Linked DNA regions of Caenorhabditis elegans. The protein of the gene in region 1 interacts with the protein of each later gene in a pairwise test. Each region holds a gene or a part of one and is shown on either strand. Other genes may lie near its edges. The genes, in order: nhr-6, jun-1, rpn-12 and rpt-2.

What was found.
Region 2: the proteins of nhr-6 (region 1) and jun-1 interact in a two-hybrid assay, tested with the Caenorhabditis elegans proteins (one study listed by BioGRID).
Region 3: the proteins of nhr-6 (region 1) and rpn-12 interact in a two-hybrid assay, tested with the Caenorhabditis elegans proteins (2 studies listed by BioGRID).
Region 4: the proteins of nhr-6 (region 1) and rpt-2 interact in a two-hybrid assay, tested with the Caenorhabditis elegans proteins (2 studies listed by BioGRID).

Annotation. Positions count from the first base shown.
Region 1 is NC_003281.10:3,570,796-3,580,930, forward strand, and holds nhr-6 (Nuclear hormone receptor family member nhr-6), read left to right. Parts: upstream 1-2,785; 5' UTR 2,786-2,903; coding exon 2,904-2,945; intron 2,946-3,055; exon of another isoform or gene 3,056-3,062; coding exon 3,063-3,128; intron 3,129-3,352; coding exon 3,353-3,455; intron 3,456-3,498; coding exon 3,499-3,581; intron 3,582-5,396; coding exon 5,397-5,474; intron 5,475-5,521; coding exon 5,522-5,673; intron 5,674-5,813; coding exon 5,814-6,008; intron 6,009-6,074; coding exon 6,075-6,364; intron 6,365-6,409; coding exon 6,410-6,567; intron 6,568-6,614; coding exon 6,615-6,975; intron 6,976-7,052; coding exon 7,053-7,174; intron 7,175-7,385; coding exon 7,386-7,595; 3' UTR 7,596-7,976; downstream 7,977-10,135. Other genes in the region: C48D5.3 (TIL domain-containing protein), read right to left, coding at 8,087-8,229, 9,526-9,663. UniProt on the Caenorhabditis elegans protein: Transcriptional activator that induces gene expression by binding to the NGFI-B response element (NBRE) 5'-AAAGGTCA-3'. Required for proper morphogenesis of the spermatheca and the spermatheca-uterine valve formation.
Region 2 is NC_003280.10:9,109,808-9,117,138, forward strand, and holds the start of jun-1 (Transcription factor jun-1), read left to right. Parts: upstream 1-3,349; 5' UTR 3,350-3,483; coding exon 3,484-3,595; intron 3,596-6,809; exon of another isoform or gene 6,810-6,868; coding exon of another isoform or gene 6,869-6,920; intron 6,921-7,017; coding exon 7,018-7,089; intron 7,090-7,331. Other genes in the region: T24H10.4 (Transmembrane protein 53), read left to right, coding at 1-54, 116-254, 301-808, 996-1,241. UniProt on the Caenorhabditis elegans protein: Transcription factor that recognizes and binds to the AP-1 non-canonical enhancer heptamer motif 5'-TTAGTCA-3'. Required for ovulation. Controls plc-1 expression in the spermatheca to regulate spermathecal valve dilation.
Region 3 is NC_003280.10:11,649,984-11,656,034, forward strand, and holds rpn-12 (26S proteasome non-ATPase regulatory subunit 8), read left to right. Parts: upstream 1-3,140; 5' UTR 3,141-3,143; coding exon 3,144-3,233; intron 3,234-3,277; coding exon 3,278-3,333; intron 3,334-3,379; coding exon 3,380-3,455; intron 3,456-3,528; coding exon 3,529-3,924; intron 3,925-3,975; coding exon 3,976-4,110; 3' UTR 4,111-4,209; downstream 4,210-6,051. Other genes in the region: coa-7 (Cytochrome c oxidase assembly factor 7 homolog), read right to left, coding at 607-1,020, 1,067-1,165; rad-23 (UV excision repair protein RAD23), read right to left, coding at 1,625-1,636, 1,691-2,494, 2,544-2,627, 2,674-2,745; nep-1 (Neprilysin-1), read right to left, coding at 4,490-4,589, 4,913-5,798, 5,848-6,051. UniProt on the Caenorhabditis elegans protein: Acts as a regulatory subunit of the 26S proteasome which is involved in the ATP-dependent degradation of ubiquitinated proteins.
Region 4 is NC_003283.11:6,014,217-6,020,597, reverse strand, and holds rpt-2 (putative 26S proteasome regulatory subunit 4), read left to right. Parts: upstream 1-2,928; 5' UTR 2,929-2,929; coding exon 2,930-3,092; intron 3,093-3,138; coding exon 3,139-3,359; intron 3,360-3,404; coding exon 3,405-4,127; intron 4,128-4,173; coding exon 4,174-4,398; 3' UTR 4,399-4,549; downstream 4,550-6,381. Other genes in the region: picc-1 (PAC-1 interacting and coiled-coil domain-containing protein 1), read right to left, coding at 1,568-1,592; aps-1 (AP complex subunit sigma), read right to left, coding at 1,848-2,139, 2,394-2,497, 2,546-2,623; Transcription factor fos-1, read right to left, coding at 4,907-5,028, 5,624-5,825, 5,879-6,379. UniProt on the Caenorhabditis elegans protein: The 26S proteasome is involved in the ATP-dependent degradation of ubiquitinated proteins. The regulatory (or ATPase) complex confers ATP dependency and substrate specificity to the 26S complex.

The DNA.
Region 1 (10,135 bases):
GAAGATCATTTGATGTCATGAAACGTAGTTTTGAAACAGTCTCGATGAATGCATTCAGTTGAGGTGTGTTTTGTGCCAAATTCTAGGTATAAACTAAAGTTATAGATTTCTCAGCTAAAATTAAAGGCAGACTAGTAGTGTAATTCTTTAGATGTTTTAATCCCCTTACGAAAGCCCAAATAGGAGGGAATTTCACGAAAGTGCCGCACTTTCAGTGTGGCCAAGTTTTGACCTAGCATTCTGAAAATAATCTAACAAATAGTTTTTACTAGTCTATAGGGCCCTGCGGTAATTCATGGAACACTGATGTGCGTTCATTTAGCATGCTTCTTTTTGATTTTTAAATTCTAATTCGAGTTAGCAGCTAATTTACCACGTGATGTCAGGCTGTCTCATTACGGTTTGATCTACAAAAAATGCGGTGTTTTCTCTCAAAAAAAAAAGTGACACTCTAGAGATTCCCACAATTCTCGTAGATCAAACCAAGATTTACAAGTTGTTGACTACTTGCTGCACCCAGGAGGTCTATAACTATAACTCATCTCTTATCAATAGATCAAAACGTTCAACTCACCTTCCACAGTCCAGTTCAAACTACACAATGACATATGAATTGGGGGGGTCAACTGTTTCCTGTAGATTCCTACATACTTCAGTTTCATTGATAAGAAGCACTTCGTCACCGAGTGTGGGCGATGTTTACGTCAGAGTGCTGGACAGTATCAAAATTAGTCACTAGAGCTGGAACAATGACTTAGTTCTGAGCTATTACTCACTTATGAGACACATGCACCGTCGCCTTCGCCGTCTCTCGAACCTAGTGGCTTTGATCTCTGATAGAGCTTCACGCTTTGGAGTAAACTATCTACAGACTCCCGGTGCATTGTGTGTCTTTGATCGTGTTATCATTCGTCTCCGTACAAGCGTTTATCAGTGGTTTCTTGCTTTTTACAAGCACTTCATCACGTCACTTTATTTTATTTGTTTCGTAGGTAAAAGGGGTGGGGAAATGGGACGAAAACCGTTTTAAAGCGGAGGTTTTCAGATTTTGAGTCAGTTTTTCTTGACCTTCTTGGCGAAAAATTTCTAATTTTATAATACATTTGGGGGTTAGCGAGCCTGCTTCCAAAAAGTATGAGAGCAAAGGATAGGTCTACAAAATTGCCCCATCTAACTTTTTTCGTTTAAAATTAGTGTAAACTATAGAAAATGATGTACCTGATTATTCGAAAATAACAAATATTTTAGCTGAAACATATTAGAAAATTCTCAAAAATAACCTGGAAATTGCCATTCATCCATTATCGAATTGTCTAGCAATTGACAACTTCTAGGCTATTTTGAGCATTTATTCAAATGTTTTAGCTCAAATAAATGCTATTTTCAAATTAATCAAATAATCAAATCAAAATATTTTGGTCTCATTGCACCTGGTGCAATAGGACATTTTTTAGAATTAACGCCCCTCATTTCTCTCAAAAACCGATTCCTCGAAAAAAATTTCCTAACTCAAATTTTATCTACAGTCTTATGCAACAGTGCATTGCGAAAGATTTCCTAATGCTCCCACAAACCGCAAAATTTTTTCTCAACATGTACGTTTTTCTTGTAATTTACAGCTTCCTTCCTACTATTTAGCATATTTTTCCAAATATGTTTTCTGATACGCCTTGTTACTCACAGGAGCTAGAACTAGATAGACAAACCAATTAGAACATCCCCCCGGAGGTTTGTATGTTTTTCGGAAAATGATCCATTGTTCAGATCAGTTATGATGTGTCGTGAGATGGGCGGGAGGAAGTGATATCATAAGTTCCCTTTACGGTTTCTGGTATATAATAATGCTCATTTAGTCGTAGAAATTTATTGTTCCGACTGTTCCGGAAAGATAATTTTTCTGTAGATCATTTATGCAAAAAATATTTTTCACTTTTGCATTAGTTTTTGCGTAGCACCCAATTTACCGAACAACTCTCCTTATCATGAAAATGCCCTTGAAATGACTAAATAATTTCACCGGTGCACATACTTTCTATTTTTTCCTTTTTTTCCATTGTCTAGAGCAGCAGCTGACGCAATTTTCCGACCTTTTCACACTTCCCACTCTGCATGCATTTTTGGATTTAAATTGTCTACGTACAAAATATCTTGCACCTGTGATGAAGTCACAAACTAGCTCAGAGATTAATTAGCTCTAGACATAGATGCTAACTGATGGGTTTGCAAGTACCTATGCCTACCTGCGTGCCTTCAACTCCCCTAATGCAGATAACAGTAGCCGTAGGTCAGTTGTAGGCACGGCAGCAGGCATAGAAGTTAACTGTTACAGTAACCACTCACCTGTACATTGGGATCTCCTCATTGATTTTGAGAGCTGACCTACATAGTATATCGAAGCGATTCGATCGCTAAACTCTGAGCTCACAGAATTGGAAACAATGAAAAAAAGGCTGATTCTGCTTTTAGAGTGACCACTTCTAATTTTAGCCGGCCCGGTGGTGTCGTCAAAATTCCTTTCCTGAAATTACGTAGATAATCAAGGCGCGGGCAGGTGAATATTCCATTCAAGACGGGCAAGAACACATGTTGTTGACTTTTTTAGTGTTGCTGCTCGATCAGTTGTCACAGTGTCAAATCACCTGCACATGTGCATTTTTAGGTGCTTCTGATGACGCGCCACGAGCTGCTACTCCGCCTTCTCAATTGTTTGACACTATATAATTCCCGATCGTCTCTCTCTCTCTCCCACTCACCCAATCTGAAAATTCGTTAAAATTCTGAACATTTTCAGATTGACCACTACTAGAGCTCTTCTCTCACTTCTTCTTCATCTTTCTTCATTCAAATCTTACAACTCCTTATATCGACCGCTCATTAATCGGATGCGCGGTCTGTCCGACTGAATGGAACAACTTAGTATTCAAACGGACGAGTTGCAAGATCAGGTACCCTAACCTATTTCTTTTTTTTTTTGAGTAGGCGAACTGGCAGGTGTACCAGAAAAACTGTTAAAGTTCGGTGGAAAAGATATGTGGTAAATTCTATATGTGGTAAATTTTCAGTTTTCCAACTGCTCGCCAGCTTCTGTCGATAGTAGCTACTCATCCTGCTCCAGCGTGGAGGACGAAGTAAGTATTCTTATTCTCATCTTCTGGAAGCCTAAACAAGATTGGGCTTATGCTTAGGATTCGGCTTAGGATTAGGCTTGGGCTTAAGAATTATAGAAAAAAAAATACAAAAATTGCACAATCCCAAAAAAACAGAAAACTCAAAAATCATGTGCCCAGAAACAACGGAAAATGAGATATTACAAAATCTGGCAAAAACTTTAATTTAAATTTTATTTTTTAAGATCGAAATCTACACACGCCTCGTGCGTAACGAAGAACCTCTGCGAAGGGACTTCTTCCGCGAGATGTCGAAAAACTCTTCGTGCTCCTCATCATTCGACTACGGTAATTCACAAAATTTCCATTTCTTCCTAATTATTGGTTTCAGGAGAGTTTGGACCATCTTCCTCGTCTCGCAAAGGCTCCAAAACCACCGATGCCGACCTCGACAGCCTTTTCCATTCTCTTGTGGTGAGCTCTTTTTCCAAGAACTTTTTTAAGATTCCCATGAAACCTTTTTTTTCAAATCTGTGGGAGAAAATTGGTATAATCCTTTTCTGAGCTATAATTTTTTTGAACTTTTTTCCGGCGGTAAAAAAAGGTGTGAGTGGGAACATGTGAATAATATCACCCGACTCCTCGTTTCCCACTTCATTTCAAACTTGGCATCCCCTCTCAACACAGTCATTGTTTCCTGTCGAATCACCCTGCACTTTCCCAACACATTTCGTGCCCGCTTATTAGAAAGATAATTGGATAGGTGAGATCACTTGTAGAGAGAGCCACGAGTGGTGTTGGTTGGAGAGAAATATTTCTCGTTTCAAATTCATTCTACAACTTTTCCACCCAACTAGTAGTAGTCTTTCTCTTTCTTTTTTTTTGGGTGTTGGCGCAATGGTATTTGCCATTAGTCATAGAGACAGTAGCAGCAGGGGTGGGACCCCTAATGCTAACAAGTCACTTGTACCAAAATGTCATTCATTTATTAGTAGTGTTTCTTTTGATGTTGCTGCTTTCTTTTTTGGCTACTGTAAAAAGTAGACCATTTTAGAAAATTTGGCAAGTTGTTTAGAAGTTTTTGGAAGTCGACTATTTTTTTTCACTCAAAATCAATGTTTCAACCTCTAAAAAATTTGAATTCTAGAAACTTTTTAAAAAAATTCTAATTTTTCCCACTGCTCAAAATTTATGAGAGTCTAGAAATGTAAAAAAATGTATCAAAAATCCCAAAAAAAAAACTAGAGTAGCCCCCCACAAAAATGGCTCCGAGTTTCTGAATTTAGACCCAACTTTTCATTGAAAATTACTGTCAAAATCAGGAATATATGCATATTGATTTATCTGAAAATCAGATTTTGCCCACTTGAACCATTGGAAAAAATGCTCGAAAATGGCCTTTTCAACAAGTATGATTTTTGATATTTTTGACCCATTTTTAGCATTTCTCAATAAAATCGCCCTGCATTTTTAAGGCTTTAGAACGTTTTTGGAGCTCTCGAGATAATTTCTTTATTTCTAGTTTGCTTAGCCATGTAGGCGGTAATTTTTCGAGGACTACAACAAATATTTTCAGCCCACAGGCTCTGCGTCATTTTAGACCAGAGAAGAGTACAAAAAGTTTAGCTCTCATAGCTCTTTTCTTGTTTTCTGCTCCAAAAAAACTCTTAACTTCCTCACATAAACAGTCCGAAAACCCGAAAAATATTTAAATGCTGGCTTAACCTTCAGTTTTGCTCAAACACATACACCCACTATCATCCGGCTAATTGATAGATACACGTGCCATTTGGCTCCCCCTTCAGTCCTCTGTGTCCACACCAAAATTTGGCATGAAACACCCCGCAATTTGTCGTCTTTCTTCTTCCTTTCATCCATCTCGAAAACTCTTTACTTTCGATTTTGATTTGATGGTCTCTCTGGGAAACCTGTTTCTATTATATCCTCAAAGTGTCACCTCTCATTCTTTTTTGGCTTCTGTCAGCGACGTCGTCATCACTCTTAGGTGGTCTCGGGGCGTGGACTGACATAATTCCTCGTGTATGCTCTTTTGTCGCAGCTAATGCTCAGGGCTCTGGACTCCGCCCCTTGAAATTTTCCTGGGCAGCCGCCTAATCAGCTGTTTGATAGAAGCGCACTTTTCATATATTCATACTTACTTCCCCCCTGCACCCTACAGTTATGATGAGCAAACGGACAGCTAGCAAAATTGACAAGCCTGTGGTCAGGCTCGGAGATGATCTTAGCGGACTTATGGGCTTTATAAAGTCTGAAATTGAAAGTTTGCAGGAGACAAGCGATCAGGTGAACACTGTACCAAAGCCCACGAAAACCGAAGTCGAGAGTATCCCCGAAGAATTCGAGCAGGTAAGAGCTTCATTCTGCACACAATTATAAACTTTTAATAATTTCAGAAACCATCCTCCTCCAGTCACCGTTTACCATCCGAAATGAACGCCTCAATCACCCATATCAAAAGTGAACTTGACCCAACTATGCAAGCATTTCAAATGCCACACAACGATCTTTTCCTGGCAACCGCCGCACCGCATTACAATCCATTCGCGTAAGTGTCGTCACAGATAACCACGTGTGAATTACTTTTGCTTCGTGTTTTCTACGTAGTACATCGAGCCGAGGATTAACCTCCATTGAGAGCATAAGCTGGTGCTTCCACGAGAGGATTTCTATTGTTTCTTCTTACAGACTTTCGAATGATTTCATGCCGAATCCCTTGATGCCTTCATTCACATCTCCATTCTATCCTCAACACTTTCCGGTATCGGATTCCAGGCGTGGAAGTCAGGGGACAACGAGCTCGTCGAACAATACCGGCGGAACACCATCGCCTCATTCAAGCTCTCTGCCAACGTCACCCCCGCAGTTGCAAGGCTTCTTAAGGTTCGTTTTTGAAATTTGAAATTTGATATTTTAAATTTGAAATTAAAAAAAAAAGAAAACTTTCAGATCCTTCCTCAACCCCGACAACCTCTCCACACCAACCTCATTCGGTGTCCCATCGGAAACAGCTCTTGACGCTGACAAAATGTGCGCTGTGTGCAATGATCGAGCTGTTTGCCTGCACTATGGAGCCAGAACTTGCGAAGGATGCAAAGGATTCTTCAAGCGAACTGTGCAGAAGAACTCCAAATACACTTGCGCTGGTAACAAGACCTGCCCAATCGACAAGCGATACCGTAGTCGGTGCCAGTACTGTCGCTATCAAAAGTGTTTGGAAGTCGGCATGGTCAAAGAAAGTAGGTGTACCCTTTGGGAAATGTTCATTATTTGTGATATTTCAGTTGTTCGACATGGTTCTCTATCGGGGAGACGTGGACGTTTGTCGTCAAAGACGAAGTTGGCAAGATCAGAGGATCAACCATCTCCACCGCTTCCTCTTCTAGCTTTGATGGGAAAAGCAATTGAAGATCATACAAATATGACTGTTGTCCGGCAATTTGTAAGTCGGAAATTTAGCATTTCTTTTGGAAAATGTTTATCATTTAGATGCAACCATTCGATGAGACTATCGCACTGAGAATCCTGCACGGAGAGCTTCATGCCACCAAGAAGCTTCTCATGGCAATGCCACAAATTTCCGAGATTCAGCCAGCCGACTTCCAGATCCTCCTCAGCAGATCTTTCTTCGCAATCATGGCAATCCGCGTGGCAAACCGATGTGGCAACAGCACCGACACAATTATGTTCGAGTCTGGAGAGCTTTTCTCGTTGAACGCGTTCCCTGCCTGCTTCCAACAAATCATTCGATTCATGGTTGACAAAGCACGAACCTTCAGCTCATTGGTTGACTGGGAGCCTCAGGCATTCGCCGCCTTTATTGCTCTTCAATTTTTGGCTGGAAACACAGGTGTGTAGAATTTAAACCCTAAAAAGCTTCAGCAAAGTTTATCTACTCCTCATTTCATAATTTCAAAATTTTTTCAGAACATAACGTACTTGGATTGACCAACAAACCTCTCGTCGACCAGGTTCAAAGTACCATCATCAATGCTCTCAAGGATCATTGCAGCGGATCTCAGAACAAATTGGCCAAGATCGTTAGATTGGTAAGTTTGTCATTTTCAACGTGTGACGTAGAATCTAGCGGGGAAGCCTTGTAACACGCTTTGAGGGCAAAATTTGCACGCTTCTAATGCTAATCCATGTCTGCCAGGAAGCAAAATTTTTATTTTTTATTGAGGGTTGCACTGAGAGCAAGTATTCCAGACTGACATGCAAGTAGGATGTCTAGTATAACACTAACTATTCAATTTTCAGACCCAAGAATTCGATGTATTCCATGCTCTTGGACTCCAGGCCCTGGACATTCTCTATCCATCACACCAGCTTCCAGAAGAGTTCATGTTCCTTATCAATCTTACACGTGCTCCATTACGATCTACGGATGCACCGCCAGCTTGTGGAAGCCCAGTTGCCCCATCTGGAAGTTCACTTTTTAACTTCCAAATGGGCCCGGCTGCCTTTTAAAATTTTTTAAATGTTTAAAATTTTAAAAATTTAAAATTAATATATTTTTCAAAATCGCTAGCCCCATTGAATTGCATATCGCAAAGATTTCTAATTTATTTTGTTTCCCCACTACTGTCTCAAACAAAAAATCACTTCCAGAAAAATTTCAAATAACTTGTTACCGGTACTTTCCCAACAATTTTTGCTCCTTGAACCTCAAATCTCTCAGAATTTGTCCCCCCATTCGGTTTTTATTTTATGAAAAGCCTCTAGTTTTTGTGTGAATTCCAATCCCCGAATATCAATTTTGTTTTGTTTCAATTTTCAGAGTTTATTTATTTTAACTGATATTTCTTGAAATTATTGTATAGAAAAAGAAAACCATAAATTATATATTTTTACATTGTTTCATTTTATTACAAAGCACCGGAGAGAGAGGGACAAGAATACTGTGGGGAAGGGGTATACTGAAGTTTAGAGAGCAATTCCTGGAGAAAAAGGTCTGAAGCTTAACAAAAATTATTTCGCATTTGTCGTTTGTTACGTCTCATGTACTGGAACGCGGTTTTCAGATCGGTTTTCAGCTCGCAGCGGCTGAATCCACGGTCGTCAATGATGGGCTCCGGATGAGCAAAGTCTGGGCACTTCTTCCCTGAAATTTGAAGGTTTTTCGAAGTGAAGAAGGCATGTGTCCCCTCAAATAGAAGTGTGTGACGTCACACGTTTTAAGGGGCATTGACCTACTGTATCATAATTTACGCGCAAAGTTTCTGTTCTGGACTGTGCTGAACTTGGTTGAACCGCGGAACCCGCGAAACGTCCGTGCAAGAACAATCGGGACATTATTTCCTTTTAATATTAAAGTTTTCAAAATGTTAGGGTTCGCCTCAAACTGTTCTGTGTGACGTCACGGGTTGGCCAAAAGCGTCAACTTTGAACACAAGTTTCTAGTATAAATTTTAGTTCAAAGATAATTGGAAATTATTTTAAGGTGAAAAAGAAATGTGGTAAGAATACTAAATCACCTATTGAATTAATTATAGCTGCAGAAGATCACTGAAATTTTCACGACAGCTGATAATATTTGTTGAAATGCCAGGGAAAGGTTACCTAAAGTTTGTCGGCTTTTTACGCAAATGACAGGAAAATGAATGAAATTTTTGAAATCGCGGGGGTTTTTTGTTGCAGCCGACGTTTTACGGGCACTTTGAGAGGATTCCTAGAAAACATTTTGTTGCAAAATTGTATACTCTGAAATAATGTTACGGGAATAATCCCTTCATTACACTTTTTGTACCTTAAACCTATTCTATGTCTGATCTTTATAATAGCATTACAACGTCTGCACCTATACACTTAATCTACCACCCAATACAATTCTGATCTGTGACGTTTGCCCTCCCCAACTTTAATCTTCTCTTTTGAAAGCTTTTGTATCTGACAGAGCAGGTTGTTGGTTGAGCATTGGGAAGTGATAACCCGGAAATTTTACCTGTGAAAAATATTTTTTTGGGATCTTTAAGGATAAATGTTGCTGGAAAAAAATGGAAAGATGACCGGAAATGTTGTATAGTTTTTTAAAAATTAATGAAACTTTGAATAATTTTTTTACTATTTTAATTTAGTAAGGCACCTCCTAAAATCAATTTTGAGACATTTTAACGTTCGCAAGTTCAAAAAACTTAAATATACTTTGAAATTTAAAAGGTTTAATCTTATATTACTAGTTTCAAGATAAAATTTTCAAACCTCCCTTACAAAGTTTAAATTTTTTGTGCTGTGGGCATTTTTTAAGAAAATATATTTTTTATGCAATTTTGGCAATTTCCAAAATTGTAGAAAATTTATGTTACTTGCAATTGCCGCGCTGACCTCAAAATTTTAGATAACTGTATATTAGATACTGTAATTCTGGCAAGGGATCTTTAAAATCAATTTCCCAACTCACAACACTTGTTGAATAAAAAATGTCGTCCTTTCTCACAAAGACATCGGGATGGAAATTGAGATCTGTCACAGATGGTGCTCTCACATGCTTGTTTACATTGATCTTCAATCATACATCCAGTTTCGTTTGGTTTAAGAGCTGAAAATTATCGATTTTTTTTCTAATCAATAGTGGAACTAGCTAGTACGTATGTAAGTTAATTATAAACGAAACAAAATTTTCAACACCTTCATTATATTTTTTTAAAGAGCAAAGTTAGGTACCATCAATATCAGAATTTTCAGGCAACCTCCACTTGCCTCGCGCCGCGACCCGCGTCTTTTTTTATAGCCAGTAAATTTGGATTTCCAGCAAAAAATCTTAGCTTAAGCTCTGATTTTTACTATAAATCGTAGTTCTCAGAGCTATTACGTCAAACTCGTAATTGTTTTCAATACAAACACGAGTTATATTCAGACCGAAAAATGTCTATTAATATCTAAATAACACATCAAATTATTCAGTTTATGATAATATTTTAAACTGTGACTAGATAGGGCTTCGTTTCCTTGAAAACTGGCCCGTCGGCTATATTTGGAATGAGTCACAGATTATTGATAAATCAACAAAA
Region 2 (7,331 bases), on another chromosome or scaffold:
TTGCTCCAGCTGAGGTCACTGAGAAAGAAGCAGAGGATATCACTATTAATAAAGGTATTGTCTTTTATATAATCCTTTCTTATTCAAAAAATAGTTGTTAAATTTTTAGTTTCAGAAGAATCGAAAAAATCGGGTAATGAAGCTGCTATAAAAAATGTTGTTGCTGGTTCGAAAACTCTCGTTGTACTGTTCGGATGGGCCGGTTGTAGGGACCGATACTTGTCGAAATACGCACAGTATTATCAGGATGCAGGGTAAGAAAAAAAAATACCCTTAACTAACATCAAATTAATTTTACAGAATTTCTACAGTAAGATTTACTGCTCCAATCGCTAAAATCCGAAGTTTTTCGTCATATCGCCCGTTTGCATTGTGCTTTCATCGAATTCTGAATGAGATTCTCCACGACCAAAATGACATCACAACAATCTACTTCCACGTATTCTCTATGAATGGATGCTCTTTGCTCGCAGCATACTGGGATCAATTACAAGATCTCGAGAATGGAAAAGAAGTTCTTTCAAAATCCAGAGGACTTATCTTCGATAGTTGTCCAGCATTCACTAGTCCATCTCAAAGTGCACAGGCTATCTCGTTTGCCACACTTCCACCGAGTCATTACCACGGAGCATTGAGAGGATCATATCGAGCAGTTCTTTATACATTCTTCTCATTTCATAGAGGAGTTTTGTGGTTGAGATCATTCTTGGAGAAGGATATCTACGAGAGACACTATGCGTATTTCAAAATGATAACATTTGACAATCTACCGGCGAAGCAGCTCTATATTTATGGACCTGCAGACTTAGTGAGTTGAATTTTCAAAATAAAAGAAAAAAATAGGTATTCTGAAATCCAAAATTGAAAAAAGCTAAAAAGCTTCTTTTTGTTTACACTTCCTAAATTTTTTGCTAGTTTTTACAGTGTTTTAATTGTTTTATTCTAGATTCTAGAATCTAGATTTAACACATTTTTAGCTTAACAAATTTTTCCAGGTTTGCTCCGAAGAATCCATCGAAGAATACGCCCAGTTAATGGAGCAACGTGGTGTTTCAATCTCAAAACTTCGTCTTCTCGATTCTTTGCACTGCCAACATCTCCGATCTCATCCCGTGACGTACACTCAAGAATGCCTAGACTTTGTGAAATCAGGCCATCTACCAGCGAATAGAAGTCGTGTGCCGTTAGAAATAACTGAAGAAGCTGCACAAAATGATGTACCTGAAGAGCTTGCCTACTAGATTCATATCTATAGATTTTTATTGTTTCTCTTAATATTTATAGATGGTAATTCGCATAATTACTTATATATTAATTGACCGGTTCTTCCCATCTCCTTTCCCAACGTTCCATCTCTATGTCCCAGTTTTATTCGCTTTAAAAGCTTTTGCTTGATACTATTGACATTAGATATAAATTATTACTTTTTGAAAGTCCCTGCTATTACACGAAAAAAAGTTTCCTTCCTTCTAAAAAAAACTAAACTAAAAACAGAATCTTGGAAGCGTAAATATTATTTAGATGAGGGGCTCCTTATTACGTATGCCGGTGCGTGCACTTTCTATTTTCTTCCTTTTTTTCTGAATTTTTTATTTTCAGCCAGGCGTTTCCCTTTCGACGTAATTTGTTCTCGAAATCACCTGAAATGTGAATGGGTGGGCAGAGGAAACACAAAAAAAGAGAGAATTCAAATTGATTCTGATGTGATGCCATTTCCACTAATCTCTCAATTCTTACTCCCACCATTTTTTTGCAATGATTTCCGAATTTGTGACTGCTTTTTCGTTCCGATTTCATTTTGATGACCGTGTACAAAAAGATGAGCAGACAACCATAACGAACGCGAAATTGTATGGAATCGTGAGAGACATAAGTATGATTAGAGAAAATACGAAGTTATCAATTATGAGTAGATACTACTGTTGATATTGTAAATTGGAAAGTGAATCACAAATCATGACTATTGGAGACCAATGAAACACTTTCAGATTTATGTTCGAAACTTCGTACCCAACTTGGTTCCGAAATTGGCAAAACTTGGCCAATTCCTGGTTCACGAATGTACAATTCAAAAGCCTCTAGATATCAGCACAAATAAGCCAAATAAAACATGAAGTTAGTAATAATAAAAGATAATTAGCATCGATCGTGTTAGGCCGAATGACTATTCTTATGCAAATTACGGTGTTTCTATGAAAAAATTAAGTGCAAGTGCCGAAAAAAATCTACCAATCAAAATTAACTTTGCAAATGCGATACAAATTCCCAAATGCAATGAACTGATATCTACCGTACTTTCCAAATGGTATGGTACACGGTATGTTACCTTGAATAAAACTTGTTTTGATATCTAGACGAGTTGTTTGGTATGCTGAATAACATGGTAAAACAGTTCAAAAAATTAAAAAATGTTTGTAACTGTAGTCAAAATCTGGCTATTACTAATAATATGTTATCACGTATTACAAATATGAAAGATCTAGGACCGAACATGCAAAAATAGTATAAATTACTTTGAAAAAAAACCTTTTTTTTGCATTGTGCCAAAAACAAAACCTCAAACAATTTCAAAAAGAAAATCAAAATATGTTTAGATTTTGTAAAAATGATCTAGAGTATTTCTGGTCTAGTTGAAGTATGTGCAGACAAAATTCTCGAATGTCATAATCGAACACTCCAGAGTAAAATGTTCATTAACAGTTTTAGTAAATTGCCAAATTTTCCAAAAAATGTTTTCTGGTCGACTTCCAAAATTGGATTTACTGAAACATGAGTTTTTATTACTCTCGGTTTTTATTAATTTGAAAAACCGGATCAGAAAGCTTCAAACCCCTGCAAAAAACGTATTATATTTTAGTTATTATTGGGTGCATAAACAAGATCTATGGGTAAAAGACTAATGAGGTCAGGCCTAAAAAGAATGAAAAACAAGATGAGCTCTGAAAAAGCCAATGAACTTCCAAAAAGATAAGTGGCTGATGGAAAGGCAAATACAGAAGTCAAAGGAGCGGAGAGAAATGAGGGAAAAGAGACGGAGAACGTGAAGCAAGCACACTGACACATTATTTACGGTAACATTTTTCTGCGAACTTTATCCATTTCCTCTCTTTCTCTCTCCATTTACCTTTCTAAATGTCAATTGGGTGGTGGAAAGAGAGAATGAAAAATAGAGAGAATGAGAAACTTCTGGATTCTCTCAATTTTCAATGTTTTCTTTCAATGTTCGTTTGTCTATCTGCGTCTATGGATGTCATGGATCTGGAAAATAGAGAGAAAGAGATAGAGATAGAAAAAGAGAGAAAAAGGAAAAGAACGAGTCAGCAGAGGAAAAGAGACAAGAGTGAGTGTGCGTGTGACTCATTCTCGGGGCCCCCGCCGACTAACCCCCATCGCCATCGTCGTCAACCGATTCGTCATCAACTTCTCTTCCTCTCTATTCAATTCTTATTTGTCAAAAGGTTTTGAAATCAAAATAAAACAAAAATGGAAGAGGATCAAGAGGAACCACCATCCTCATCAACATCATCAGAATCTCCAGAAGTTGTTCTAAAAGCTCCAAAAGCTCCAACTCGAAGAAGGAAAAATTCCAAAAAGGGTTAGTTTGTTTGTCTAGTTCAAAAGTTTTGGAATACTTGATGATAAACCTGTCACAATAGGAAATGGACAATCATGGTTACAAAACTATAGTTTCACTACTATCAAAATGCCAAATTACAACTACCAAACATTTGTGATCTCGTGATTTTATCGTTAATTGATGAAGTTGTTTGTCAAAACATTATATCAATTTGTAGATCTATGTTTAATATGAATTCTTTGAACCCATAAAAAGTTTATGACGCGTGCCAAAAAAAACAGGTGGTTGTTAAAATTGTTTTGTATTTTTCTTAAATGATTTGTAAAATTAAATCATATTGTTTCTTACCAAATTGAAAGTTTTTCTATGCAACAATTTCCTTTCAACTGGACATAAAACACTTAAAAATAGAGTAAACGGTATAATCCTGGCTCCGCCCACTTTTATGAATGTTCATCATTACATTTTAATCATCACAAAAACTACGAGCGAGACTCTAATTCGGAGAGAGACGCAGTGATCGAGAAAAAAAAATCGAGTTGACACGTGATTTTCGATTCCAACGACGCAGCTACTGTAGTGATCGAAGCGGCGCACAGCTTTTCCCGCCCGTTCCATCTGGCAACTGTCTGCGTCTCTTCGTCTTATATGGTCTCTTTTCTTCGAACTGTTTTTTGTTGATAAACGCATATGCCTAGTTTAGCGGAAGTGTAGAGGCATTAGGGTTAGGATCTAGGAACTTGAAACTATATATATATATATATTCCTAGACCATATTCTGTAAACTTGGTAAATTTTTTGAACTTTCATTAAACCTAAATTCTTGATTAATATTTAAAATTGCAATTAACGGTAAAACTATGTTTTTTTGGAAAATCTCTACCTCCTACTCTAGCTTGTCCCCTAGCTTTACTTTGAAGATTTGTATTATTCAAATCCTTCAAAAAAAGCTTAAATATATTATGGTATACAAATCCGACAAACCTCATTTCTCTAAAACCTTCATCTAGAAATTTAACATATTTCAAACCCGACATTTTTTCACAAGAACTACCTAATAAATCACCACAATATGTCTCTCCGCCCTCTCTTGGTTTGAGAGCAATATTTCATTGGTTCGACCTGATTGTGCCAAATGATAAGACTAACAGCTGTTCCTTTCGGAAGTTTCATTATTAGCTCATCAGATCATTTTAGTACACTATTTGGGTTTTTTAAGGTTTTGTCGAAATTTATAGTTAGGTATTTTGAAAACGTTCTTCGAAGTCATATTGACAAAAGTACAATACGAAAATACAAAACACACTATAAGTACAGAAAATTCAAGCAAAAGTTCAAACAATGCTATTTTAAAATTGATTTTGAACGATCGAATGCTATAAAAAATCTAAAATGATCTTACAAATGGCTTATCCCGGCCCTTCGCTTCTCTATTTTACGTCGAATTTCTCGTTATCAAGATTTTTGCAAAGAAGATGTTTAAAAGTTTGTCTTGAAATTTTTTTTAGCTACGTGAGCTGAACTAATTTTCGATGCGTTTATTCTCGAACTTTGGTTTCTTAATTTCCATTTTATCCAGACATATTTTGTTCATTCGTTCTATCCGTTCCCATTCATTTCTTGGAATGAGTCATCGGGCTTTCGTAAATGTTTTGACACACACTTTGCCCCTTTTTTCCTTCCCATCTTTCAGTTTTTAGGCTCTGATTTCTGTTCCATAACATGCATGGGTAATGAGATGAAAGAGGCTATGGCAACTCTTGCGAAACAGTCATATGTTTGATGAAATATTCAGGCGAATCTCTGTTAGTATTTGTTCTCATTTTCTGCAGAAGTTGTTTCAATTTTAGAATGGAACCTGTAGGTAGTTAGTCATTTTGAACTCAGTTTTAGCTAGGTTACCCATAGTAGATCTATCTAGAGAGGTGCATCCTCAGGATCCACTGCCTGCCTCAAACCTACCCGCCCCTCCTGGCTTCATATTTTTGATTCAACGATGTTTGGCGCTCGAATTGTGTTAACTCATGAGTTATTAATATTTCTAGGCACAAGGCAGGCAAGGGTTGCCGTGAAGGCAAGCCAAGTTCCGATGAGGCGCATGAAGCCCTAGTTTCAGCCAATTCCCATCAAACCTGACACTAATCTTTAAAGAACATATTCATGACGTTCTGCTCGTGGAAGACTGATCTGCTCTAATATTTTCTTTTTGATGTTTATCTCTGAGCTTTTCTGGTTCTCTAGTTTCATCTACATTTTCTGTTAGAGAACATCTGAGAATCTTTTTCTTCTTCTCTTTTTTTCACTTTTTCTATTTTCCCACCATCATAAACACAAATTAAAGAACGTGCTTGGATGGAGCATTATGAAAGTTTTTCACTTTCCTTTTTCGTGTCGCGTATTCAAAAACTTTAAACAACATTTCCCACCAACTTTTTCTGCTAATCAGCGTAGTTCCAAGAACATCGTTAACATGTTTTGTTAATCAAATCTAACACGCGTTTCATGATCAATTGATGTTTGTGTTATGAAGTTATCTGAAACATTTTTCTTCATATATATTGAATCTATTTTTTTGTTATGCTTTTCTCGATTCCCGCCAATTTAGGATATATTCTTGTTGGAATTGTACTTCCTAAATGTGCTGATATTTTGGAAAACAATTATTTTCCGGGTCTTTTGATTTGATCTATGATTTTGCAGTGGCTGAATTTTAAATAATTATCAAAGAAATCATAGTTTTTGTAAATATACCTAAAGAACATAACCGTATTTTAATATGGAATTGATCAGAAAATAATCAATCAGTTGTTTCAAGAATCACCAAGAAATGGAAATTTATAATTCTCTATCCTACCAAAAATAGAATCGATTTCAAGTTTTTTCACATAACTAGAAATTTTAAAATAACCACCAGAACCACAGTTAAGGTAAATGGAACACAAAGTTGACTGTAAGGGGTTCGAGGGACGAAAGGCGCCTCGGTCACGCCTCGACCGAGTGGAATGCCTACTAGAAGCACAGCATCAGAGACTGTTCACGACATTTAACAGTTACAGTGATATGGTAAATAACGAATTAGCAATATAATTCTTCCCGTTTGTCTTGAAATTGTAAGCAATTCAGTGTGCTTTCAGTTCATCCTGAAATGTCGGGTTGTTGAGTAGTGAGTCATACTCGCTTATCACCAAAAATGGTTCTCCACCTCCATCTCATTCTCTCATCGTTTCGTTTCGTTTTCTTCTTCTTCGTTTTCCGATTCTCATTCTTCTCTATTTATTTTGTGAATCGATGATGAATAACTCGTTTGATATGAATGTGACACAACATACCAACTCTTCACCATGTAAGGGTTCATTTTAAGAGTGACAGTTTCATTTTCAAATGACACGAATACCAAAAGACTAATTCCAATCTCTGAAGTATTAAAAGTTAACTTTCAGATCGGCGACAGGATATGGAAGTAGATGATGGCGAGAAGGAAAGCACAGCACAGTACTGTAAAGGATTTTATGGTGAGAATTTTGAATATTGAAATGAATGGAAATTTTAAAATAAAAAAAGAAAGTCACAAATTGAGAACTCAAGAATAATCGTTTGCTGATCAAATATTCAAAAAATGGAAATCACAAAGTAAAAACGTCAACAAAACTGTTGTGTGACTGATAAATGAATGTCTTTCTCATCACAATCAGAAGGTGGCATACTACTTTAAAACAATTGTACCACTGTTATGACTGGATGGAAAATGAAAAAA
Region 3 (6,051 bases), on another chromosome or scaffold:
ATTCCATCAAAAAATATGCATTTATTTAACAACTAAAAAAAACATTCAAATTTTAACAAATTATGAGAAAAACTATGAAAAATCGACGAAAATTGAGGAGAAACGAAAGTTTGGAATTACAGTAATCTTTAAAGGCGCACATCTTTTTGCATTTTACAATCATTTTTCGTGTCGAGACCATTATTGCTTAAAAATCGCAAAATTTCTCGTCTGTTTAGCTTAAAATATTCGGTGAAAAATATGTTATAACAATGAATTTAATGGGTTCGGAATTCATAAGTAATGGTCTCGCAGCGCGCTCTCTGCATTTATTTAAAAACGTTTTGATGTACGCGCCTTTAAAAGATTACTGTAGTTTTTTACGTGCAGATTTTGATAAATTTCGTGTTTTCTAATTTTTTTTCTAGTAAATATTTCACAAAGGTTGTTATATTTAATTAATTTTGATGTTCATTTTTTCGAATAATAACGTTTTCAATGTTAAAAGTGTGTAAAACTAGAAATAAAGTTTTCTACAGTAATCTTAAAGGAACACAAAACATTTTTTAATAGATGCAGGGTGCGCGGCGATCCTTTTTCGCATTATTTTGAAAAACAAAAAAAAACCTTAGCCTCTCCTGCAGCATTCGTCTTAAATTTCTCCTTATTTCCCATATACCAGGTACTCAACAACCAGCAAGCTTCACCATCTTCCAGTTCACAGGCTCTTCTCATGTATCGTTCAGCCTTTTCTGAATCAGCTTTCCGATCTTTTTCTCCATTCCAATGAACAAGTGATAAATATCGACATCCTTGTGGAATATTCGCATCACATGCGATTTTCATCGGTCGAATCATTTTTGACAGACTTGCATCGTCTCCAACTTTTCCGGCTAACATGTACATTCCGTACTTGAAACATGACTTTGGATAACTGTTCTCGTCACAGTTCTTCTTGAAAATCGCTACGGCCGCTTGAAAATTTTGTTGCAGAGCTTCCATGTATTCGCCGAGCAATTGACAGGATTCTGGCCTTTTTTCCTGAAAATTTAACTTCAAAGAAAGATTGAAAATTCAAATTTCTCACTTCGTAGCATCCAAATCTGTACTCAATCCCAATATTTTTCACATATTCCGCCCTTTCGGCCTGTTCCTGCATAGCTTCTTCGCTTATTTTTCCAGACATCTTCAAGTAAAGTGAATTAGCGCATATTCAGAAGAAATGAACGACCGATATTGGAGTACGAAATCGTGATGACTCATTGGGTAAAGTTTGATAAATCGAAACGAAGAATCATTAAAACATTTGACTTTCATTTGAAAATGTTGGATGACAAAAGGGAATTACAATACCGAAATTATGTCACACAAAATTCGCTGAACGCGACGAGAATTTCAACGAAGTGCCTACCAGTAGCGGGTGACAATCAGCACATGGAACTGAATGTGTTATTATCTTAAATATATAGACAAAGGGCAATCGAGAAGGCGATGAATACACATTCTTGGAAGAAGTGTTAATAAAAAAATTAGGCTGATAGGAGCAAGAATATAAGCTTTACGGAAATGGGGGAGAGAGAATAAATTAATTTCTGTTGCAATTTCCAGTGACGGTGATCAGAAGTTATTGGCATGGGTAAGATAATTATTCCTCATCCTGAAATAATTAAAAATTAAACTTCTAATTATCTACGTATGGAAATAAACTCACGAGGTTGCTGAAAATAAAGTTGATAGCGGCTTCCTCGTTTTTGTCACATGCGAAATAAGCCTCCACAACCACAGCTTCTGGTGCATTAACAACTATGGCTTTGATTCTCTCAATAGCAGCAGCTTCTTCGGGACTGAGATGGATAACATGGCGACGTGGGGTGTTTCTTTCTGGCGCATTTCCTGCAGCGGCTCCGGCTCCTTGAGCTCCACCATTCAAAAGATCCATGAAAGCTTGCTGGTTGTTCTGAATAGTCTGAACAAGTCTTGGGTTGACAGCAGCCAACTGCTGAAGGACTGCGGCGAGCATTTCAGGATTTTGTTGAATCAAAGCTCTAATTTCTGCAAGCTGTGGCATGTTTGCAAGCATGTTAAGATCGTCATTGCCATCCTCATCCACGTTATCGATGTTTTGCTCGGGCCCCAAATCTGGTTCTTGGTCAGCAGCATCATCAGGAAGTCCGTTGAGAAGAAACTCGACTGCGCGGTCTGGATTCCAGAATGCTGCGCGCAGAGCAGCGATAGTTTGTTCACGGTCATAGCCCATTCCAGTGATTGCGAGAACGTTCTCTTCTTGCTCATCCGTAAGCGCCTCCGCCTCAGCAGGAGCAGCAGCTTCAGGAGCAACATCGGCAGCTGGGGCTGGGTTTGACGCAGGAGCGGCAGCTACTGGAACAGGCTCAGCAGCTGTGGCAACGGTAGATGAAGGTGCAACTTCTGTGACTTTCCTTTTGCTGAGCATCACAACAACGAACTTCGAAGAATCGAATCCGACTTCTCCGACCTTCACAGAATCGTCGAGAATCTAAAAAAAAAACATACTTTAAAGATATTATGAGCCTTCACTGTAATACCTTTCCGTTGTAGATTAATTTTTGAAGTTCTGGAGCATAATCATCCCCTTTCTCCGAAGCGACCAGAGCCTTTACTTCCGCAATCTGAAAGAAAAATAAAATACAAGTCGAACATTAACTCTAATCTTACCGTCTGATCTTCATTCAATTCCAAATTGAAGTTAACTTGTGTGAGAGTCCTGAATGTAACGGACAAAACCATCCTGCAAAAAATTGTGAAATGTTACGAATAGAGTCATGTATTGAAAGAAAAAGAAATAAATATCGATAACAGATTGATATTAATGCAAAACAAGCAGTATATATGTATAAAATAAACAAACATTTGATTATTAATAAAAGAACAAAACAAAAAAACCATTTTGAAGAACAAAATAAGTGGTAAAAAACAGAAGAGAAAATGGCTTGGCGTCTTAAAGGCGCACATGATTTGAACACTCTTCGTGGCGAGACCTGCCAGAATTGTCATTGTGTCGATTTACGGAGAATGCGTTTATTTCTTTTTTGAATGTTTTATTTTTATTTTTTAACTTCACTTGTGTTTATCGTGAACTTTTATCTTCGATTTTATCAAATTAAAACATTATTGGATTTAAGAAAATGTCTGCCGCCCATAAAAATCTTCTGGCTGTGTGGGCAAAGGAGCCAAAAGATCTTGTCGCAGTTGAGAAGGCTCTGAATGAGTTGACGGTCAGTTAATTGTTTGTCAAATTGTAAATAAATTGAATTTTCAGAAGGTTCTCAGTGCCTCCAGCGATTTGAATGATAAACAGTCTGCATTGGCTTCAAAGTAAGATTTTTCTTTGGTGTAATGAGTTTAAATTATTAATTTTCAGAGATTTGTACGAGATTTCGGTGCTCTTGGCAATTCTGAAGCACGATTTCGAAACGTTCGACGATTACATCAATCAGGTGAGTCTTTAAATAATTATTTGGAAAATTTATGTAATTTTTAACGATCTGTAAATTATTTTTAATTTTCCAGATGCATACCTACTATACAATGGCGCCAGAAAATTCTGAAAACAAGCATTTAATGACTGGACTCCATCTGATGTTCCTGCTCGCTGCCAACAGATTGTCCGACTTCCACATGCTCCTCGAACAAATTCCACAGAAAGAGCAAACATCAAACGCTTACATCTCTACGCCAGTTCGTATTGAACAGAGTCTCATGGAAGGAGCCTACAACAAGGTTGTGCTCACCGAGAAGAATATTCCAAGCCCCTTCTACACTATTTTCATTCGTATTATGCTTGACACCATCCGTCGCGAAATCGCAACATCTATCGAGAAGTCTTTCAAAGTTCTGACAGCGAAGGATGCCACGGTCATGCTTCTGTTCGACAATGACGAACAAATGAAAAAGTTTGGACAAGAGGTAATAATGATTTTTAAAGCTACAAGTATTAAAAAATATATTTATTTACAGAGAAAATGGCATTTGGATGGAGAGCGTTACGTTTTCGAAATTGAGGTGGCTCAGGAGAAGCCTGTGAATTTGGATACAGTGCGAGTCGCAACTCAAACCCTCTTCTACGCCAAGCAACTCGAACAAATCGTTTAACCGGTGTCTTTCAAGAACTCAAGCATTGTATTTGTAAACTGATTTTAATTTATTCGCGTCTTTTTCTCGGTACTGTAAGAAAATGAACTTTCCGATGCATTGTTTTAGCAAGTTTTAATTACATCTGAAAATTTTATTTGCACAAAGATTTCTGGAATGAACAAGAACATCTATCAATATGATATACCAAAAAAAGAAGTTGGAAAAATTCGAGAAAAAATACATAGAGGGACAAAATACAGTGAATTCGAGTGTCTATTGTTTTCAACAATATATACAGCTAGATGAGTAAAAAAAAAGGACGAAAGATTTAGTAGATTCTGAGAGACAGATAGATAAAGCGTGCCAACTTGGTTGACTCCTTTCCCGTATTTTCTGATTACCACACAACACAGCGTTTCGTTGGATTCATCGGAGATCCAGCTGGACATTTGAAAGCCTCGGCAAATTCTGGCTGATTTGTTAGAACCGTGTTCACTCTGAAAAAATTATAAATAATTGTTGCCAAAAAAGTTGAATGAACGATGATGTGTATTGCGTAACATATTTTTGAATATCTTGTAGCGAAAACTACATGTAAATAGTAAATCGTCTACTTATGGAAATAAACTCACGAGGTAAATCTTTAAATGACTACTGTAGTGGTTTCGATTGTTAAACGAAAAATAAATAAATTTCCGAGCCCGTAAATCGACACTACAGTAGCCCTCTAAAAAGTTACTGTAGTTTTCGCTACGAGATATTTTGCGCGTCAAATATGTTATGTAATACGCATTCTCGGAATTTAGTGTTTCAGTAATACCTTGCAGTTTCTGGTGAGTGAGGATCAGTGAGTAGCAATAAAGTCTTGGTCTCTGGCGTCTTGGCTCCACACCAAACTTGAGCATATCCAACGAAGAAGAGCTGCTCATTGGTGAGACTTTCAAATTGTGGAAGACGAGCTTCTTGGCCTCCGTGTTTCTCCAGATATGACTTGTAGGCCTTGAAAGCTTGCTTGATTCCACCATTATCTGCGATATTTTCTCCCTGGGTCAACTTTCCATTGATTCGGAGATCAGTTCCACGGAGTTTCACATCAGCGTACTGCTCGATAATGCATTGGGTTCGCTCATTGAATTTGGAAGAGGTGGTGTTATCCCACCAATCACGAAGATTTCCGACATTGTCGAATTGACGTCCGGTATCATCGAATCCGTGGGTGATCTCGTGTCCAATAACTGCACCAATTCCTCCGTAGTTGAGAGCTTTCGGGAAACGAGCATCAAAGAATGGCTGTTGAAGGATTCCAGCTGGGAATGCAATAGCATTTCTTGTTGGCGAGTAGAACGCGTTGACAACAGCAGCACTAGAGATGAACTCGAATCTGTTAACTGGCTCCAGGAGTCTGCGATAATAGAAGTTGTTACGCCATTGGATGCTCTTCTCGACAAGCTGACTGAATGAGTCCTCTGGTGCTCCCTCAAGACCCTTGTACCAATCATCAAGTTTCTCGTCGTTCAGAATAAAGTCTGGATATCCGATTTGTTTAAGCATCTGATCAGCTTTCTCCAATGCATACTTCTTAGTTTCAGCGTCCATCCAATCATTTGCATGCATCATGTTTCGGAAAGCCTCTTGAAGATCTGTGATCATGTCGAGTGTTGTGTTCTTGGCATTGGCATCGAAGTACTTGCGAACATACATAGATCCTGAAATTTAGTTAAAAGTTAAATAGTGTCACCTAAAAGATCTACTAACCAGAAGCATAGCTAAGTTTTCCACCAGCACTGCTGACACAATCCTTCCAGCGTGGCTGTCTCTGCTTTCGTCCGTACATTTGGAACGCGAACTCTTGTTGCAAATCCTCATATTTCTTTCCAATTTCTTGGCTCCATGATCCAGCCCAACGAAGGAGGATGTAGTTCGTGACAATTCGTGGATCAGTGTTTTGAAGTAGTGTGT
Region 4 (6,381 bases), on another chromosome or scaffold:
TGGATAGTCTCGTTCGATTTAGGTGTCGAAGTTAATGCCCCGAATGAAAGAGGAAAAGGTGGATTAGACGATACTTTCATGAGGAACAACAGACAAAAAAAGACAGTGTAAAAACTGAAAGAAAAAGAGATGGTATCTCGATAAAGGTTCCCACACAACTAATCTGATCTTATAGATACATAGAGAGAGGATTACGTCTATTTTATTCAGCGCAATATTGTGTGCACAATAACGTTGCAGAAGAACACATATGACGATAAATAATTGACGTTGGTTAATAGACGTATTCTGACTAGGAAATGAGGGCACCGTCACGTTTCCGGGAAGTATATGCAATAGGAAGACTGTTTCAGTCTGTTCGCACCTTTTACTGGTTGCACCATCTGGGCAGCTGTGTAGCAAAATTAAGTGTCTAATCTGTTTTTAGAGTATTGATAGGTGTGAAAACTTCCAAAAAACTAAAAAAAAAAGGTTACGATTTTGAACTGGAATTATAGTAATTGCAAATATGCTTGGTTCTGTCATCAATTGCAAAATAAAGGTTTGCCAGTAAGAGTACGACCTCAAATTGCAAGTCGTTTGGCGGGAAACAAGAAGTGAACACGGCAGGGTGCCAACATTCACACTTTCGTCGCAACTTGCGAGAACAAAACCTGGTTTAGTTCTGCGTACCCACAAAAACCAATTACTTGTACATTGCTATTAGGAAAAACTATTATCGATTTTCAACATGTGATTATTTTTAATGCACCACGTAAAGCTAATTTAAATCTACCAAGTGAAAAATGGAGTTCCGTTGAATTATATACATTTATTGTTATTACTTGAAATCGTTCTTTCCTAAAGTTAAAAGCAACTGGGAAGCGTTATTTCGAACCAACTCTTTGGCTGATTTTCAAGACTGAAAAAAATAGCGAGGTTTGTTTATGATTTCTAGGGTCTCATGGACTGCGAATATTGAAAATGCGAATACTTATTCAAATAATGTGATGCGTACTTCTGCTTTCTGCCAAGATTTTAGATCAAAAATTAACTACGACTCAAAAACTAGGTGAAAGAACAAGTGTGTGCTGGAGCAAATTGATGGATACTTGAGAGAATGAGTGAATCCGCGCGGAAACATTTCCCGCTGTCTCCGCCTTCACTGCCCTTGTTCAATGTAAAACCAAAAACAATGCAAAGTATAGTGGATGGGAAGAGGAAGAAGTATTGGGCAGAAAACATGAAGAGGACACAAACATCTACTGTACGAAAATGATTAAACTTTGAGAAAACGGAAGTGATCGAAACAATTTTGACTAGTTTAATCATACTTATCGAAATTTCAGATAAATGATATTTTGAAATTCGACACCAACAAGAAGGTGAACATTGTGCTTTGTAATCTAACAAATGACAATTCCGGCAGAGGTGCCAATCATTCCTACATTCATTCCGTTCGAACTGACATGTTACACTGCCAACGTTCGCATATTACCCCCCGTTGAATTATCCTTGAATCCACCTTTCCCCTGTTCGTGTTTTACACTCATGTGCGGGAAACTCGGCAAAATTCACATTAGCTCACCTCGTCTCGGAGTTGTGATAATCATCCGCTTCGAAACCTGAGAAAGTTCAAAACTTTAAAGAAAAAATTGAAAAAAGTGTAGAAATAATGCAAGTCATGCATTGAAGTTTCCTAACAGAAAGAATACATAATGGAAGATTGAAAAATGAATGTTTTCTTCTCTTATTCACATGAATATTATCACAACCAGACACATAGCCAGGATAAATAAAGTAAGGTGGAAGTATTTGGTATTTACGGAAGCTTTCAAAGTCAATAAATTATGTTACTATTATCTTCATTATCCCAAACCGTGATCCTCGAAGAATCCTTGTGGAGTTTCTTCTTCTTGAATGAGATCTTGGGCAGCAATCGCCTTCAAAACTTGTTTTTTACTGGTTTCCTGGATTTCACCAGCCAGTAAAAATTCGTCGAGTATGAAGTAAGCTTTTTCGAAGTTGAAGATGATATCCAGCTCACAAACACTTCCAAAATATTTGTCGAGGAGTTCTACGTAACGATGAATGACTTCCAAAGTGATGAGCTCGTTGTCGTTTTGTTCGATGGCGCAGCAGAAATACAGAGACGCGTATCTGAAATTGTTGAGATTAAAAATTGAACGAATTGTTAAGTTTTTGTTTCATTTATCACAAAAATGTCTATTAAACAACTAAATTTGACGCCAAAATATTTTTCATGAATAAAAAACGTAATAACTTCGGATTTAGGTGTGTAACTATAATTTTCAAGAAATTTTGATTATAAACTTGTAAGTTATTTTCAGAAGGAACAATTTTAAGGCATGACAGGAAATGGGAGTTGTTACTTTTGAATATAAAATACGAACCGTTTGTAGACAACTTTCAAATCCTTGTATTCGAGGAACGCACACATTTTCGGTTTTCTCGCCAGAATTTGAGTGATGAGTTCGCGGCAAATTTTCTTCTTTTGCTGAAAATTGAGTGTGAAATTACACATATGAATAGGAAATACACTTACCTTGTCGGGGTAAGCAGTGTACCATTTCTGCAGCCGCAGTTTGCCCTGGCGACTGAAGAGAAGCATGTATTGCATCATGTTTACTGAAAACAAGAGTATGAACAATCGTTTGCAAACTTTAAAACGCTGAAAATACTTAAAAATCAATTGAAAAATTAGATTTTCTGAATAAAACAGACATGTGGCTTCGTCAATAAAAACAACGAAGCTCCGAAAATACGAAACCGCGCGTTGTTTAGTTCTCACCAGAGCGCGCTTGCATTGTCATCATCAACGCTGTATTTTTTTAAATCATTCTTCGTTCTACTTATTTTATATCTTTCAATTGTTTTCTTTTTCAAACGTGGACTTATTATTTTTCATATAAAATCATTATTTTCTAGAATGGGGCAACAACAGTCAGGTTTCGGTGGAAGAGGAAATGACCGCGGTGCCGGAGATGGAGAGAAGAAGGAAAAGAAGAAATATGAGGCACCGATTCCATCTAGGATTGGAAAGAAGAAGAAGGGGTCTAAGGGACCTGACGCCGCTAGCAAACTTCCAGCTGGTAAGTTTCAATCTAGTGTGTATTTTAACTGATGATTCGGTTTTAGTCACACCACATGCCAGATGCCGTCTGAAGTTGCTGAAGAGCGAAAGAATCAAGGATTATTTGTTGATGGAGCAAGAATTCATTCAAAACCAGGAGCGTTTGAAGCCACAAGAGGAGAGACAAGAAGAAGAGCGCGCCAAGGTGGACGAGCTCCGTGGAACACCAATGGCAGTCGGATCACTTGAGGAAATTATCGATGATCAGCACGCCATTGTTTCAACTGTAAGAATCAATATATCGATAATATTTTCTTATTTCAATATTTAGAACGTCGGAAGTGAGCATTACGTCAACATCATGTCATTCGTCGACAAGGAACAACTCGAGCCGGGATGTTCAGTCCTTCTCAACCACAAGAATCACGCCGTCATCGGAGTTCTCTCCGATGATACAGATCCTATGGTGTCTGTCATGAAGCTCGAAAAAGCACCACAAGAAACGTATGCCGATGTTGGTGGTCTTGATCAGCAAATTCAAGAAATTAAAGAAGCAGTTGAGCTTCCACTGACTCATCCTGAATACTACGAAGAGATGGGAATCCGGCCTCCAAAGGGAGTTATTCTATACGGTTGTCCTGGTACTGGAAAAACGCTACTTGCCAAGGCTGTTGCTAATCAGACGTCAGCTACTTTCCTTCGTATTGTTGGTTCGGAACTTATTCAGAAATACCTCGGAGATGGTCCAAAGATGGTCCGTGAGCTCTTCCGCGTTGCTGAGGAGAATGCACCATCAATTGTGTTCATTGATGAAATTGATGCTGTTGGAACAAAACGTTACGATTCGAACTCTGGTGGAGAACGTGAAATTCAGCGGACTATGCTTGAACTTCTCAATCAACTTGATGGATTCGATTCCCGTGGAGATGTTAAAGTTTTGATGGCCACTAACCGCATCGAATCTCTCGACCCTGCTCTCATTCGTCCAGGTCGTATTGATCGTAAGATTGAATTCCCCCTGCCAGATGAAAAAACGAAGCGCCGTATCTTCCAGGTTGGAACAATTTTTTCTAAACATTATATGAAGTTTTTATTTTCAGATCCATACATCTCGAATGACACTCGGCAAAGAAGTTAACCTCGAAGAGTTCATCACAGCAAAGGACGAGTTGAGTGGAGCTGATATCAAGGCTATGTGCACAGAAGCTGGTCTCTTAGCTCTTCGCGAGCGTCGTATGCGTGTCACGATGGAAGATTTCCAGAAGTCCAAAGAAAATGTGCTCTACCGTAAGAAGGAAGGAGCTCCAGAAGAACTCTATTTGTAAATGTGCCCCGTTTTATTTATTTTTTTTGTATTTTCTCTTTCCCAATTTATTTTATTCCCTTTTTGAACGTCCCGTTGCACAAAAACCGATTTAATGTAATTTTAAATCTGGATTGATTGAGGTAAATGATTCATGATGAAAAATATTCGTTTATGTGACATTGGGATTGATGGTTGGTAAGGAAAGTTCATGAATTTAATGAAACTGAAGAAGAAAAAAATGGAGAAAATCGACTTGAAGATTTACCAGTGAAGAAGTTGATGGTTTCGAAGAATAAGAAAATGATGTTACAGTTGAATGTATTTCTTATCACAATAATTGGAAACGGAAAGTTGGGGGAATTTCAGTAGCTAAAAGTGAAACTATAATGAGAAAAGAGAGAACTGGCTGAATTTAAAGATATGGAAATTGGATAGAAAATCGGGAAATTGTATGAAATTTTGTAATAATGAGAGCTGGACGGGGAAAATTACAAATGCACGCTACAGAAAATGATTTGAATCGGAATCTAGAGTGGTCGGAGATCAGCATCCGGATGTGGTTGAATCGGGGTTGGAGTTGAAACGAAGTTCATTGTTGGCTGACCAGAAGGTGTCAGACCAGTGTTGGAGGAAAGCAAGTCGAATGGGCCTGGAATGAAAATCGTTAATTATATTTTGAGAAATAAAAATAACACTTTTTAGCCCGGGATGAAACTGGAAAAATTTAAGAAAATTTTCGTATATTGTAGAAATATCGGCATTTGAATTAAAATTATGCAAATTTCTGGGTCTTGGCACGCCAACAACTTTCCAGCTACCGTACTCGCAATTGTAGTTCCAATTTTAACATTTTTTATATTTAACGTTGAGTTTTTTCAAAATATTCCAATTTTTGTATGATTATTGCAATATTGATATCTCAAAATACACGTGGTGTCAGAGTGTCCTATATCGGTTTGATCTCCGAGAATCGCGGGAATTTAGACGCATACTTCAAGTATCGCATGGTTAAGAACGTGATGGCGTCACATTTTTTAAGGGAATAAATTCCCGAATTTTTTGTAGATCAACCCGTGATGGTACAGACTGACACCACGTGAAAATATTGGTAGAAACTAGAAGAGCTCGGGTACGGTAGCTGAAAAGTTTTGCTCGCGATGAGACTCAGATTTAGGATTAAGAATTGCAATATTGTAAAAAATACAATTTTTATTCATTGGCTACAATCCGATTAAATAAACTACCTGGTGGGCCTCCGAATAGTCCATTCCCTGTACTCTGCGGTGTTTGATTTTGATATTCCCCCCCGAGACGGAAAGGCCTGCTGGGAGTAGTGATCGGCTGATTTTCAACGATTCTGGAAAGCGTCGGAAGAGCTGACGGACGTTCAACGTCGTCTGGCATGGTCAATGATGTCAGTGTTTGGTCCAACTCGATTTTTGGAATCTGAAGTAAAATGTAATGTAAAAGATTCAATAAATTAAAATGAATGTACTCACTTTGCGTTCCGGTTCTGCGAAAACGTTTTCCGAACGACCGTGTAATGAGTTGGCATGCGAAACCGGGATAGAAGTGATAACATGAATTCCAGCAGCACTCGTGCTTGCCGGTAAAGCTGGTGGTGGCATAGAATTGATATTTCGATCTTTGATATTTTGAATACATGAGATTGGAGGAAGAAGTAATTGATCAATTGAAGGCTTATAGTCCTCAACTGGTGAGTGTTGTTCAGACGATGAAGATGAATGTCCTGATCGAATAGAATATGGTACAGAGTCAGCACGTGGTGGATGAACTCTCAACGAATGTTGAAGATATGGTTGTGATGGTGGAACTGTTGATGGTGGGATTATCAATCGATTTATCTCATGTGTTCGTTCTTCGCGACTCAGTTTACAATCATGCGTTTCCAAATAGTTTTTGAGACTGTTGAGCTTATTTCGGATGTTGTTGCATTCCGCCATTTTTTTGTCGTTGCTATTTTTGAAGTCATTTACTTGCT